Oreochromis niloticus: one gene and its partner. The protein of the gene in region 2 interacts with the protein of the main gene of each other region in a pairwise test. Links are inferred from orthologs where the notes say so. Each region holds a gene or a part of one and is shown on either strand. Other genes may lie near its edges. The genes, in order: foxa2 and transducin-like enhancer protein 1.

What was found.
Region 1: the proteins of transducin-like enhancer protein 1 (region 2) and foxa2 interact in a two-hybrid assay, tested with the Homo sapiens proteins (2 studies listed by BioGRID and IntAct). The link is inferred for Oreochromis niloticus from reciprocal best matches to the Homo sapiens genes TLE1 and FOXA2.

The regions. Positions count from the first base shown.
Region 1 is NC_031983.2:28,013,177-28,021,494, forward strand, and holds foxa2 (forkhead box protein A2), read right to left. Parts: upstream 3,204-8,318; 5' UTR 2,861-3,203; coding exon 2,789-2,860; intron 2,120-2,788; coding exon 950-2,119; 3' UTR 521-949; downstream 1-520. UniProt on the Homo sapiens protein: Transcription factor that is involved in embryonic development, establishment of tissue-specific gene expression and regulation of gene expression in differentiated tissues.
Region 2 is NC_031977.2:21,197,748-21,205,476, forward strand, and holds the start of transducin-like enhancer protein 1, read right to left. Parts: upstream 3,333-7,729; 5' UTR 2,489-3,332; coding exon 2,465-2,488; intron 2,130-2,464; coding exon 2,029-2,129; intron 1,337-2,028; coding exon 1,273-1,336; intron 617-1,272; coding exon 572-616; intron 1-571. UniProt on the Homo sapiens protein: Transcriptional corepressor that binds to a number of transcription factors. Inhibits NF-kappa-B-regulated gene expression. Inhibits the transcriptional activation mediated by FOXA2, and by CTNNB1 and TCF family members in Wnt signaling.

The DNA of each region.
Region 1 (8,318 bases), on a different chromosome or scaffold from region 2:
CGCTAGCTATTAGCCGCTTTTTTTCTTTCAAACCTCCTTTTTCCTCACTTCAGTTTAAAAATATTATATTATAGAATGTGGCGCACTGGCTACATCTCCTTTTTTTCATATAAATATTTGAATTTGTGGTTGGGATTAATGAGCATATATGTGTGTTGTTTACATTTCCTGAATGACAAATTGGGAGCATTGTTCCCGGTTTTATCCAGCAAAGCTATTAATCCAAGCTGACTGTGCGCCTTACGTGGGTAAGAATAAATTCCAGAATTTGAATTAAATAAATAAATACATCGTGAGAAACGTATTTTATGATCCCAAACATGGATGAATGGATTCGTTTTTGTTATGATAATATAAACCAAAACTGGACTAAATTAATGCCGCCTCAAGTTGTATCTTTCTCCTGCAAATTCTCCGTTTGAAGTTCGTTTTTTGGATAAAATCTAATTTTTCCTATAATAATAATAATAATAATAATAATAATAATAATAATAATAATAAATGGTCCAACACCGTGACATTCAGAAAACAAAACCAATAACACTTTAATATAGATTCTGTTCTTGTCACTACAAGAATACACATATACAAGCCATAAATAGGAATTACACAAATGATTGAACAAATCCAGCGAGGCATTTCGAGTCATTTACGAGTCCAGTTATGCGGACGCAGGCTATTTTACAGCAAGTTGTTGTTGGTTGTCTTTGGGTCCAGTCCTGAAACCAACTTCTGAGCAGATTTCCGTCACATTATCAGTGTTTTTTAATCATTAATATCAGCATCCTCTCAAAATAATTAGGCTACTAACAAACTCGACAACTAAAACTGTGGGAAACGTCAAAAATATCTGAAATACATATTGTACACAAAGTCTATACTTTTTTCTTTTACAAATGTACAAAGTGAATGGGAAGAAAGTCCACATTACATGAGGGGATAAAAGAGTTTACGAGGAGTTCATGATTGGTCTGGAATAGACACCTTGGTAGTAAGTTGTGTCAGGTATGGATGAAGAATCCAGACCGGCTTTCCCCGCCATGGAGCCCATGGAAAGAGGTCCCGCCATGGGGGAGCCATAGCCGGAGTAATGCATCACCTGCTCGTAAGTCTTTAAGTCCATTTTGTGATGCTGCTGCTCCGAGGACATGAGGTTATTTATGGAGAAAGGGTGGTTGAAGGAGTAGTGGTGCTCCGGCTTCAGGTGGGCTTCGTGCGCAAGAACCGAGTGATGCTGAGACATGAGGTGCTGCCCCTGCGTCACCGGGCTAGCAGCGGTGTGCTCCGGGCTCAGGGCCTGGCTCGTCTTCATGTCCGACAGGGACCTTTTGTGGTCGCTGGAGGAGGAGTTGGAGAGCGGGGACTCGTTGCCGTTGCAGCTCTCTGAGCTGCTGTTGGAGGAGCCGCCGTCCCCTGACTTGCGGCCCGGTTCCTTCATCTTCTTGTCGCACTTAAAGCGTTTCTGCCTCCTCAGGTAGCAGCCGTTCTCGAACATGTTCCCGGAGTCCGGGTGCAGAGTCCAAAACGAGCCTTTCCCCGGTTTATCCGGCGACCTGGGCACTTTGACGAAACAGTCATTGAAAGACAAAGAGTGGCGAATGGAGTTCTGCCAGCGCTGCTGGTTCTGTCGGTAAAACGGGAAGAGGTCCATTATCCACTGGTAGATCTCGGCTAGTGTCAGCATCTTGCTCGGGGACTGCTGGATGGCCATGGTGATGAGAGAAATGTAGGAGTACGGGGGTTTGGCGTGCGTGTAGCTCCTGCGGTAGGTCTTTGGGTCTCTGGACCTGTTGATGTTAGACTGTCCGTATATCGGGCTCATGGCGTTCATGTTTGAGTACGACGTGAGGGCGTTCATAGACGCGGGCTGTGCGGTCATGGGACTCATGCTGGGGCTCAGGGCTGCGCTCATTGCCGTCATCCCTGCGCCCATGCCGTTCATGGCTCCGGTTCCCGGTGACATGCCGGTCATGGAGGGGCTCATGCCCGTGTTGACGTATGACATATTCATGGAGTTGGCCGTCATGTTGGCAGTGGTGCTCATGCCGGACATGCTCATGTAGGTATTCATAGAGTTCATTCCCAGGCCCGCGTTCATGTTGCCAACCGAGGTGTAACACTGTCAGTGAGGGAAAGAGGCATTCGTGAGTTTCATCTGGCATTGCAGCGAGGAATAAAGCGGCACAGTGATTTCTAAACACGGCGAATCGTTATCATTTGAGCCTGATAAAAATCGCCTTATTCATCTCCATAAATAATACTGAATATTTTAAAGCTTCCCGGTTTCGTAAGTGTGAAGTGGCATTGTAAGCGTTTGCTCTCGCGCGAAGTATTTCCTAGAAATGAAAAACAGGGGTGTGTATATTTAACAATATATTTAACGCCACTATTACAACAAAACATAAATAAATAAATAAAATTGAGGTGACTATTCCTCTTAAAATGTGCAACCTAGATGAAAATCGTACTCGGTGTGCGTGTGTCCACTGAAAAATCTGCCCGAAATCAAACGGCACACGTGTTTATTGGGTGGAAACCTGACCAACAATAACCCGATTTAGTAGAAACACGTAGAGACTTATGAAATTATAATCCGAGCGAAAAGTTTCTTCCCCTACATGTCAAGCAACTTTGTTAGGATAGTGCGCTGCGTGGAGATGGGGGAGGATTTGGAGGCGCCTCAAGTCAATATTTGATCACAAAGTTAATATTATCTCAGGGCTAATATTGAGTTGTATAAAATGGGATCGGCTTTAGACAGAAAAAAATATATATTTAAGGTACCCACCTCGGGCTCTCCGTAGTAGGTGCTCCAGTCGGTGTGTTCGTGTCCTTCCATTTTAACTGCTCCAAGCATCATGGAGGACTTTTACAAAGCGTCTCCCAGCAGAGGGAAAGCCAAAAGTCTCTCTAATAGCAGGTAACTGGGGACCACTGAGTGTATTTAGGTCGTCGGTGTGTCCCTTCGTCGAAGACTGGAGCATGTGTGTCTTATGGAGCCAGCCGTGAAATGCGTCTGTCAGTGACTGGAGTTCAAATGACGCTCCGTGCTGCTTGTTAACGCTGTGATATAGCTCTGTGCTCTAGGCAAGCCTCCAATCCCTACTTCTACGCCTTGGGCCCTATTTGAATAATCTCCTCGCACCTAGGCGTGAGACTCCTCGAGCATCCCCCCACCCCAATTGTACACCTGCGCTAACTGAAAAGAACAGTTTCATATGAAAAGCTTCATTATAAACTAATCTTATTGTATTTTGGTTGGGGCAGAAAAAGGGGGGGAGAACTATAAAAGGAATGTTTGGCGCTCTTCCTTGGTGCGCTTTTCATTACGCACATCCTCCAAAGTGCTTATTCCACTTCAGCTGAGCTCAAATCATAATCCATTTTATTGCGTTGCATTCAAGGAATTTATTGCCTAAGCCTACATATAAATTTTAACTATTTTACACCGAGAACACCAAAGAACACGAAAACGTTTAGAAATGAAGTAAAATCTCGTTTCAGCAAAAATCTCCACAGAGGAGTATTTAAGGCAGATTAAACCATTAACTGATACAGGATTAAATATTATTCTGCCATAGCTTTGTTGCTATATAAATCCAAGAACACATGTTTATGTCTTACATAAATGATAAGACACAGTTTTTAAACCTTTCTGATGTTCACCTGAAGAGGATTTCTCTTTCAGCTTTGCTTAGTCCACAGAAAAAGCAGCGAGATCCGTGTAAATGACCGCAGCTTGTTTGATACAATTGGTCATTTTAAACAATATCAAAACTTCCTACAAGCTAAAGTTTACATTTTGTCAGTACTAAAGTCCTTACCTCTTTCCCAACTAATGTAGGTGATATTTGCACAAAGGCACAGTTTAACCTGATTTCTTAACCTGGGAGACTGAATTACTGTTTCTAAATGTTTTAATTAGTGTCGAATACGCCAGGCACAGCTTCAGAGCGCCCTCTCTCGGATGCCACCTCCGACTGGCTCTACTGTCTGTGGCACATAAAGTCATTCTTTGAACTCAAACGCCCGTGAAATATTTTAAAATCAACGAAAGTTGGGCGCTTTTTCTTTAGGTTGACTCAAAAAAAGAGATGAAAAATAACCGAAATCAAGAAAAACACGGAAGTGATGACGTTACAGCCCACATTCTGATATTTAAATAGGTCATTCGAGAGTTCGCGTGGTTGTATAGGCAGACAGCTTTTCTGATTTTGTTTGTTGGGAGACCTTTTAAAGCACGAAACTCCTGTTTTTCATCAGACGTGCGGGCCTGCGTGTTGAGGGCCTCTCATTTTCGCAACCCGTACAGTATTTGTATGACACAAACATCAAGGTGAGGCTGCAGAGCGATGCCAGCCACGTGTCAGTAGTTGTACATCTATTTGACTGCATATTTACGCAAGAGCATAACTATCAGTATAGAGCCCCATTAGTAAAGGCGAGTAAACCTGTCGTGTTGACGAGGGACTAACACAGTCTGCTTAACTTGGAAATGAGATCATGAGAAAAAGCTCTGTGTGTTTGAGGATTTGGGATTGCACCGGCGGAGAGGTGGAAATGGAGAAAGCTGGAGATGGTCAAATCTGCGCTCTCCCGGCTCGACTGAGTCAACAACAATAAGTTTTGTGAAATGTTATTTTTGAAAGGGACAGTCGCTGCAAAATCACAAAACGCTTAAAACAAACAGTCATCTAATATTTGTGTATAATAGAGCCTTTATAAAGTGTTAAGGGCGGAAGATTAGGCGCGTTGAATATTTTTGGTGTGAGCTCATTATGGAGTAACTGGATTTCAAAGAAGACATTTTTCATAGATTTTAAAATATAATTTTAAAAAGGTTTTACAAATATTCTGACGCATTTCTGTTGCATAAATGTGCTAAAAAAAATCCGATCGTGAATGCTTGCATGGCCAGCCAGTATGTTTGTGTGTGTTACGCAACGATGTGGTCACGCTGAATGTGAAAAATGTTGCATATTTTCTTTTAAAAAGTATGAAAACGGGTTCAAAAAGGACCTGGAATGGTTCTGGTACCGCTAAATCCAATATATATGAGTTAAAAATATTATTTCATGATGTGCTTATTTTAAAATTACAGAAACTAAAAACCGTGAGCATTTTAAAAGGGTCCTTGACCTGTGTAACATTATGTTCCTGAATGAGACATGAAGCTAAATCCATGGTTAATCATCAACTTTCCAGAGTCCTCTCACATGAGTGAAGGTCACATTTTGGAAAAACAAAAAACTGGTGCAGGGCTTTATGCAGATGTAATTTCTATTCAGCGTATTTTGTTTTTCTTTATTATTCTTTGGTGTAGTGTTTGCATCCTCACTCCAGAACAATAACTGGCCTTTTCACAAAAAAATGTTACCTCCTCTCCACAGCAGACACTACATATCACTCTGACTCTATCTCACACTCTGTACAATTGTAACATTTTTATTTATGACCCCCTCTGACTTTGTCAGTGGAAAGAGATAACCAAAGAAATCACACGGTAAATTTGATATATGGGGCCTGACTTCAGTTTTTGGAAACGGAACAAAAAAAAAACAAGTAAAGAAAAAGTGTCAGCAAAGTGACAAAATGTGGAGAATTTCAGAAATGTGAGCTCCAAAACACAGTTTAAATGTTCCACAGAATCAGAACAAGTCCCTCCCGAATTTTAAAAGCCAGAGTAGTTAATCACTGCCTCTTTATGGTTGGTACAGAAAAGATGATTGAATCACCAAAGACTGAAAATCTTGCATTGCGTTACACTCGGCTTAAATTCAGAAGGTTAATTACACGTGCATGTATATACTTGTAAGCTGGTCTGTTAGTGAATAAAAAAATATGCCAAGTATCCATTCTTCTACCGTAATTATGTAAAACTGGACTAAAAAAAAGTAGCAATATAAAACGAAAATCTTTATCCAAAGATTTCAGAGTCTTTTTGATGTTTCACAGTCAAATTAAAGTAATGTTGTAAATCATTTTGCTTATGATTGAGGTTCAGACCAGGTAAACCTTTGGGTCAAATACAGGCAGTGTGTCCCTTTCTATTTAACCTCTGGTTTATTCCATTGACACCAGCTTTAAAATACGCACTTCAATAGTTCACTTCAACACACTGAGCAGGGAATCTAATGGCCTGATGGTCATTGCTGCAATATGTACAAACCGCTGCCACGTTTCTTGGCAGTTTTTCTGTTCCCAGCTGAAGCTTTCACAATCCCGCATGCACTGAAAATGAGGCCAGGACTGCATTGACTTGTTCTCATGAGATTGAGTCAGAACACAGCTCAGTGTGTTATTATAAAATTTATATATTTCCATTGAAAATTTCCTTGTGGCACCTGAACCAGCAGTGTAGCCCTCTTTCTCCTCCAGTTAGATTTGCCACACTCTGGATTAATTAGCCTTTAGGATGATGGGTGTTACATTTCACACATTTAGGTGTCATTCCTTTATTGGTTATGATAAGGGAATCCACTAAGTGGTGAAAATGTAATGACTGAGTTAAAGAGGTGAAAGCAAAGCACACACGTGGCCCCAAAATGACACCAGGAAGTTTTCTTGGGTGCAGGGCAGGGGGATGGAAACGGATAGATCTCTGCTCGGTGAGAGGAAGGTGGAACATTCCTTCAAACACCCAGGAGCTGTTGGCAGTTATGTGCTAGCTTTAAGTTCCAACTTTCAAAGTAAGGATTTTTTTCTCAACTGAAATTAAAAGCTCTGCTGAAGAATGCACCTTTTTGTGCCTTTCTACCCTCCTGAGTACACCGAGCCACACAAAACAGCACAGGGCAAAGGGTTAAGCATGTAATTCATCAAAATAAAATTAATAACAAGAGAGTCTTCCTCTTGGAAAGTGCTGGAAAAAAAAATGTTTGCGGCCAACTTGCCTGTGGTGACAGTAAACATTCCAGAGCCGGGCTGGAGTTTGGACCTGCCATTATCTGCCACAGCTGTGACAACGCCTGTTGGCTGCAGGTTTGTGGCTGGCCACACTGTGTTTACCTGGAAATGAATCTGAAAAGCGGCCGGACTGGGAAGGCACACAACCTAGCTAAATAAAAACTGAGAGTGGCCATTGCAACGAGATGCAGTGGGAGGCAGTCCAAAGTTATTGCACTGGCCCCAGTGGGTCAGGGCGCAAACACAGGCGTAAACGCAGTAAGGCTATCCTCAAACACGCACCTTTTGATATTGAGAGGAATGCAGCGAGGAATGCCATTCGATATGTTTTATGTTGACTGTATCCAAGGCATTGTAGATGCAATACTTTCCTCTTGTCATGTTAGAAAAAGAACCTGTGTTTACCGCCGGCCTTCATCTGTCAAACAAGGTGACAGTTTATCTATTGGACCACAGGAGTAGAATGAGGAAGATGAAATCCTGAGAGATGGAAGGATCCAACGCGCTGAACTAGAATTTTGAGTGTTTATGTTGTTGCAGTTTATTCTTCTGACAGGTTTGGAAATTAATTTTGTCTGAGAAAAAAAAGCTGCTTTATTCATAATTAATACATGATTTGCAAAAACCTTCTAGATTATATTTGGTTGTCAGGTTGTGAGAGCAACAAAATAATACAAATTTACTGCTATATTAAGTGTTTTTAACACTTATAGCCACACACTTAGTGGGTCATATAAGACTGAGACACACGTGGGCATAAATTATGTTATTTAAATGAACCCAGTTTAAACTCAACTGAAAGAAGTACGTGCTTAACCCTGTAACACCAAGTGTGTCTTTTCAGAGCTTCTCAGACTTCTACATCAGCGGTGTGATTTGTTTTTTCCCCAACCAAAATAAATTGATCAAATTATTTTAAGTAATAAATTGACAAACAAAAAGTGCCAGATGTAGCAAATATAATATAAATTAAAACCCATATATGCAAATAGATATTGAATTTGTCAGAAGGTTCAATAAAAACTTAATTTTCAAAATAAATTTGAATTTTTTGGCAATTATTTAATTGCTCAGGCTTTACAGGGTTGCTGGATATAAAGCTACAGGTTTAAAGGCTAAAATACTTGGGGGGGGGGTAAACTTTAGCATTATTGTGATTTCTTATATACCCACACTCTGACATAGATCAGATGCCACGACTCCTTGTGCTTTCTGAACTTTCTACAAAACGTGGATGGGTTGTGTATTAGAGCCAGAAGATTTAATATCACCAAATCAGCACATTGTTATTCATTAGTGGACCAACTGCAGAGTCAATACACATTTAATCACAGACTGAAGGCAATTAGAACAGGAGCAGAGCCACTGGTGCTATGTTAATTAAAGTGCCAGGCTCCCATGGGAAGCACTGT
Region 2 (7,729 bases):
CTCTACCGTCTGTGAACTGAAACTGTCACTATCCTCACGTTTTTGCATACATTACTTAGGGCTATGCAAAAGTGCCCTTGCCTTTCTGCATGTGCATGTACACTGATTGGGTAATTGCCCTTGTTATTGTGCGCTTCATATTTGAGTCTGCCTCGTTACTGTGTTAAGCTCCCAGCTTCAAAAAGGGAGAGCTCCACTGTATCTCCTCCGTCTGCCTCACCGTGATCGATTCCTCTGCCCTCACCAGCCCTGCCCCTCTAATGTAATAAAGCAGGCCGCTCCCCTAGACAGCACCAATCAATCTACAGAGCCATTCATCCTGCCTCTGGGCTCAGCCGGCCGGCCCTAACTGGGGAAATGGAGACAGAGCCCCATCGATCACAAATAAACACACATATACACGTATACAGTAAAAGAGAGAGAGAGACACACACACACACACACACACACAAATGCACTTGTGCACACACAAGGACACGTCAACAGGCCCACACTCCACATACATCAAAATCCATCCATGAGAGGAAGAGAGATAAACAAGAGGACCGACAGAGTGGACGAGCAGCCATACCTGTTTGTGCATTTCAATGTTGAGGCCATACGACATCTCATAGTACTGGGGGGGGCAAAGAGTGAGAAGGTTAGAAGGGTGAAACAAATCCTAAACCCCTGAAAGAAAAAGCTTGAATAACTTAAACAATAATTAGCTACACTGTAGATGTCTTTCAAGATATTTGCAGATCCTTTTAAATGAAGTGTTCCACAAAGAGGTCAAACTACTTTGAAAGTCAAAACATGCAAGTCAAATGCTTTTTAACTTGAACATGAGGCAATGCAACATCCTCACAAACAATCTGAACTGAACAGCATTCCTGTCCATGTTATGTTTGTTTCTGCGCTAGATGAAAAGCTTTTGACACACAGCCACATTGCTTTGTGTAAAAGAGGTAAAACTTCAGTGATTAAAAGTGAAACGTAAGCTCTCGTGTATATTTTATTTTCTGAAACAGTGAAACACATTTTAAATCAACATGAAAAGTCGTAACAGCACAGCATCTTTGCACAGTAAAAGCAGGTGACACTTGCACGTTGCTCTTCCTCTTCCCTTCATTTAGTATTAACAATACATATATTTTGTATTGCGAGTCTTCAGATAGGAATTTGTATTCTGCTTTATAAGATATGGACAACTTTCTCCTCTAGGAAACTTTAGAACTCCTGCATGTGATGTGTGACCCTGCAGGGCAAATGAATTGAGTATAGGGAGCTCACCATGACGTAGTGCCTCTGCATCTCTGTTTTTTCACTGGCCAGCTTCTCACACTCCAGTTTGAGACTTAAAAAAAACAACAAGAAAAACAATACACCATTTACTTTGAGTGGAACTCAACATTTCAAGTTAAACTAATCAGTTTTCATTCTTTCTCTCGCCCCTCTTGCTTGATGATTTAAACACCCTCTAAAACAGTCCATGGAGATGTTTCAAAAGAATTGGTGCAAAAATGGAAAACGCGATGACTGTTCCCGTCAAATAATGGGTATATGTTTATGACAATCCTCTTCTTTGAATATGTAAATCAGAAACATCCAGGTCTAGCTTTCACCTGTTGTGAATGACCCACCCTGACAACATCTAGAGCAAAGTTAAAAAAAAACAAAAAGAAAAAAAGAAACACTCTGCTCACATGCAGTACTTGAGCAAGCCTTTTCCCTACACAGCTACACACACAGGGGAAAATAAGGCGTGATTTATGAAACCCTAAGCCCACACGCCACCCCTCTGGCTCTCACCCATCAAGAAGATGTAGACCTACCGCAGTGCAAGCGCTAACACTGATGCCTGCTTGCATATGTGTGCACTTTTGTATGTGTACGTGAACCTAATCCAGGTTTATGGGTTAGTCTGAAGCCAGGGTTGAGGTTTTGTTCATTATGGTTATGAGGATGACTGTGGTTAGGGTGAAGTTTAGTGTTGGGAGGGCAGATGACAATAGAGGAAAACGTGAATTGAGTGTTTGTGTTATCCACCTGTGGTACTGTGCCTGAAGAAACTGAAACTCCTCCTTGATGCGGTCCAGTGACTCTGGGATGGTGAACTTGAAGGGCTGGCCTGGAGCCTGGTGGGGCGTCTGGCGCGTGCGCGCGCGTACACACACACACACACACACACACACACAGATTACTAACATCACACTGGCACATTTTGTTGTCTACATTATGAATCTGATACTTTTAAGCACAAATACAATATCAACAACTTCTAAATATTAGTCGTTATTTAAAAAACACACACAAAAAGCCAAAACGCAATATAATCAATCCCACTGTAGAGCCCAATTAGTTAGAAGACTGAGCTTAATATAAACACATAGGCAGCCCGGAGGGGCGGGTCATATAACGAGGTAATGTTACCCGGTTGAGCCCGGTGAAGTGAGCGTCTGTTAATGCACAAAGAGCGTCTTACCGGGTGTCGCCCCTGGGGAAACATTGTTATCTCCGGGAGGATGAAACCGTTTCCTTCTTAAAACCCCGTCAAAGTGGGATCAAATGGGGGTGAAAAGTAAGGTTGTGGGAAGCTCCCAATCACGGAGAGGAATCCATCCGCCGTTGTTATTAGGACCAACGATCGTTAATTAAAAAAGAAAAAAAAAAGGCACCGACCGCTTGTCCGCTTCGTCTGGGTTCACCGACCGTTTAACGTGAATTTCCGCTTCTTCCCGTCTCTCGGTCGTCGTCTGTCCTCCGCTCCACAGGCAGCGCGACCGTAAATCAACCGGAAAAACACGGGAAACGGCTCATTAGTTGAAAGCAGCTGAAGGGGGAGGGAAGAGAAGGACAGGAGAGCCAGGTGAGAAAAAAAAATAGGGCTGGAGCCACCTTCGCCACTCCGACGTTTGTTTTGTGTGCGAACTGATGTATTCCGAGTACGGAGAGCCGACCAAACAAACAAACAAGATAAAATCAACCCCGTAGATCCTCAACAGACAGCCGCAAACTGCCGGCGCTCATTCAGAGCATCAGAAACAAATCCACACAAGTTAATTGCAGAGAAGAGTTCCCACTTGACTCGCCGCGGTCACTGGCTGGCGGTTGAACGGTCAACAAATACAGAAATATTTACTTCCTCGATCGGTGTGGAAGCAAGCCTTGCCTCCAAAATAGATTTCTCGTTTTTAAGACAAAAAATAAAAAAACGAGGAAATATGTCGTTAATTTTGATAACAACAACTCCCACAGCGGCGGGAACTGTTCACGGTCCTGCTCTGCTTTACCTCAATGGCAACTTTCTCACGCGGTTTCACGCTCACCCAGCTAACCGAAACTATAGGCCAGCCCACAAAACGCCTCCGCACCAATCACAGTCTCCGCTCCACGTGGGGAAAATGATGTGGGTTATGAAACTGACCAATAGCCTCTCTGCAAAGTTCCCTGATTCTGTTGACCTCGTTGAGCTACGCAGATTTTGACCAATCAGCGCGTCGCAAGGAGCTGCCACTTCGGAAGCGCGCAGGGCGGGCAGTGCGGTGGGGAAAAAGGCAAGTCTCAGCTGTCAATCAAAGTAACGTGGGTTCACCAGGAGCAGAGCTGTAAATGTGCGCGTCCACACACATACACACACGCACACATTAACAGGCAAACACACAAACAGAAAAACAGAAATATTGTTTTTCTTAGCCGCCGTGAACCTTCCCAGCAAGTGTCATGACAAATAACCCCAAATCTCTCTCTTCCTCTGCTTTCTCTCCCCCTCTATGTAATAATTTTCAGCGTGGGAATTGATTTAGTAGGACTTGAACGCTCTTTATGTTCTGCTTCTCCTAAAAAAATCTAATTATGCTGCTCATCTGTTGCAGTTTATTGCTATTTTCATACAGTCAGTCTACAGAGATAGCTCAGTTTGCCTCATCATGTTTCCTTCGCTGGCCAAGGACAAATCCAAAACCCTTACTTGTACTGTGATGTCTTTATATCTCTTCAAAAACGTAGCTCGGCATTGTGCAAATGTGATTTTGACCCAAAGAAAGCAGAAAAATGCCAGGGGAATTCCTGATTCGTTGTAATAAAGCTCACAGAATGGTATTTTATTATACCAGCAGTCAAAGCCAGATTGAAGCAGCTGTAAATAAAGACACGCTAACAGGTAACAAGCAGGTAACAAGAGTAGTTAGAGTTGCTGCTAAAGACATGAATACAAAAACATAAATGAGAAAGGGGCTTTTATTGAAAATGTGTGAAGAAATATAACTTGCCACCTTCATCAAAAATGAAGACCATATCTCTTGCACATAAAAGTTTCAGCAATGTTTTTAAAATAAAGATGTCACCATTTATTGCTCTCCTAGCAAACAAGCACAGGTTATAGCTCCATTGCCAATAAAGGCTATTGGTAAATTGCACTCATTTTGGGGTGTTTTTGTGCCAGCTACCTGATGAAATACTGCATGGCTGAAGTCACCACGTTGTGACTGGCGAGGTGTGTTTGAAGCTGAGTCATAAAGGAGGCTCGTGGGATCTTCTCTACTCCTCTTATCCCATCGAAGTACTGCTCACTTCACACTGGATGGCCCCTCAGCCACACACTGGCCCGTGATTGGCTTAGAGACCTCAACCCTCTGACCCACGTGACCTCTGACCTCTACGGCGGCTGATCCAGTCCGTATGAGAGGCTCCTGACTGTGACCAACAGTGACCTGTTTTTTGCAGGTCTCACACATGCACAGACACGCAGGTGCTGTGGAGTGGGTGGTACGGTTACAAAGGTTTGCATGTGCAGCTACACATTTGTGCGGGTGCTTAAATGCATTTTGTCTTTTATAAGTGTTGGTTCACATTCGTGTTAACCTTTGCTGCCTGTGACCCACACCCTCACCCCACCCCGGGCCCCTCTAAAATGAACAACCAGGACTGCCTTGAAATGTGAGTTAGCCACACTGTTTGGCATTCACAGGCAAATTTTGTGCTGCATCAACCTAATGGTTGGACCTTTTCATTTAGACTGTTTATATTAATTTATTCATTTTGGCTGTATGCGACTGGCTTCTGGAGCTACAGTTAATCACAGTTACTGCCTATGAATATATGGTAAATTTCCACTAAAGAAAATCACCCTGAGTCTGTGTCATTTCTAAAATTTACAGCATGTTTTTAGAATCTTGGCTACTTATCTGTTTGCTGCATAATGTTTTGTTTTTTATTGTTTTCCCTTCTTAAACCTCTCTACGGTGCACTGAATTATGCACATTGCTACACTTTTATGGCCCCAGTTCCCCCATCTTCTCTTCTGTTCTTCCCAAATGCTTCAAGGTTTAATGTAATCTTTTCTTTTTTTTTGCCATTAGTGCAGATTCAGTTGTTCATGATCAAGTGCAGTGTTGGCCTCATTGAGTATACCTGAAGCGTAATCTAAAATTTAGATCAATAACTTCTCCATACTGTGTAATAAGTTCCTACAAAAAAGAGGTACAATCCCAGTTCTGCAAAGTTGTGATGTGCTGAACAATAAAAAAAAAAAATCTCATAAATTCATACTTTATTTACAATAGACCAGAGAGAACACATCAAATCTTTTAAGAAAAATATTTGCACATTTTGAATTTGGTGGCAGCAACATGTCTCAAAAGTTGGAATACTGCCACATTTACACCTGTGTAGTATCCCCTCTTCTTTACCACTCTGTAAATGTCTGGGAACTGTGGAGACCAGCGGTTGGCCCCCTTTAGAGCAATGTCGCCCCATTCTTGTCTGATACGGCATTCTAGCTGCTCAGCTGTCCTGGGTCTTCCTTATCATATTTTCCATTTCATGATCTGCCATTTTTTTTTAGTTGTTGGAAGGAGTGGACCGCAAACAAACCAGTTCAGCATCTGGACTCTTCTACTACAAAGTCATGCTGTTGTAAAATAAATGGAAGATGCGGTTTAGTATTGTCTTGCTGACATATGCAAGGCCTTCCAAGAAAAAAATGTCATCTTATAGGACACGTTGCTCTAAAACTTCTATGTACCTTTCAGCATTGATGCCTTTCCAGATGTGGAAGCTGCAAGTTCCATTCCCTATTATACCACCATAGCGTCAGAGACTTTTGAACTGAGTGCTGAGAACAAACCAGATGGTCCCTGTCCTCTTAAGCCCAGAGGATGCAGTGTCCATGTTTTCCAAAAAGAATTTCAAATTTCGATTCATCTGATCACAAAACAGTTTTCCGCTCTTCCTCATAGTCTTCCTCATTTAATCACTCTTCAGTGATTTGCATGACAGAATCATCCCTGTTTTTAACACAGTGGTTCCCAAGGGCCCAAAGATCACAGGCGTCCAACTTTTACATCCATCCCAACTTATTGTGAGGTGAGGCATGTTGCGGCCATCAAATTAAAATTTAGCTATTATTTCTCATGAAATAGTAAAAATCTAAATATTTGATGTTTTTTATGTTCTTTTGTGAATAAATATGGTTCAGTGCAAATCATTGCAATCTATTTTGATTTACTCTTTACAGAGCATCCTAACCTTTTCAAAATTGGGCTTGTAATCATTAACATTTTTAGTGCTCCATTAGTTCTACAAACAGCAAAACAAGAAGAAGCACAAGGCAACATGCTCCTTTTTTCCTTACCTTAACTCACCTCAATGCAAAGATCCTTACAGCCCATCAAATAATAGTTAAAGGTCACACATCAGTCAAAACTAAATCTTTTTAATACACAACACAACATCCATAGTTAAACTATTCATTATATTAAGAAAAAGTAGCAGATCCATGTTTTCTGTTTGAAGTCTTTTCTGCACTACAGTGTTTTATTTAACACTATATTTTCAATATGAGGCAATACATGTAGAGTATCCTCAAATAAACAGGATGATTAGCATTTTATTATTACTTTATGAGAGATTTGCATTTGAGGTTATAGACACAAGACACCACAAAGTGTTGAGGAGTTATGAAAGTGATGAATGAGACAAATTGTTTCTACCTAATGTTAACCACAGGTTACTGGGAAAAAAGGTAAAAACACAGAAAACCACATGTCCTGTATAATAGAACGCCCTGCATTTTATGTCAATATGACATTTAAATGTGAATTAAAATGTGTTTTAGAATAGATGGAATAGAATAGTCCTTTTTTGCTGTTGTACGTATACAATTAAAATTTTAGACTTGTAAAAATAAAGTGATGTTTTTGAGTCACAAATGCTGAATTTTTTCTTAAAAGAAAGACTGGCGGTTTTTAAATACAGTTCAGTTTAATTTAAATTATATGGCACCAACTCGCAAGAACAGTTTCCTCAAGGTGCTTTAATGTAGCCTAACAAAATAAAACCTCCATATCGTGCACTTGGCGAAAGTGGGAAGGAAGAACTCCCTTTTAACAGGAAGATGCATCCAGAATTATCCAGAGAGGGGCAGCTATGTGCTGTGATTGATTACGGGATGGAGGGAAATACAAGAAAAATGGAAAGCACAGGGAGACAAGGACACATCACAAATTATGTTAGAAGTAAAACACAGAAAATGAAAAGAGTAGTGTGGAGAGGAAACGCTCAGTGCAGCAGGGGAAGTCCCCCAGCACACTATTTGGCTCGATTCGACTCAAATCTACTCTACCCGGTTTCCATCATTTTCCATTACAACTGAGTATCACCTCAATGTGGGTGGAGTCATTATAGAAAGACTGTCAGAAAGTCCCTTCACATCATTTGTATACAACACAAACACACTACAACGAGGCAA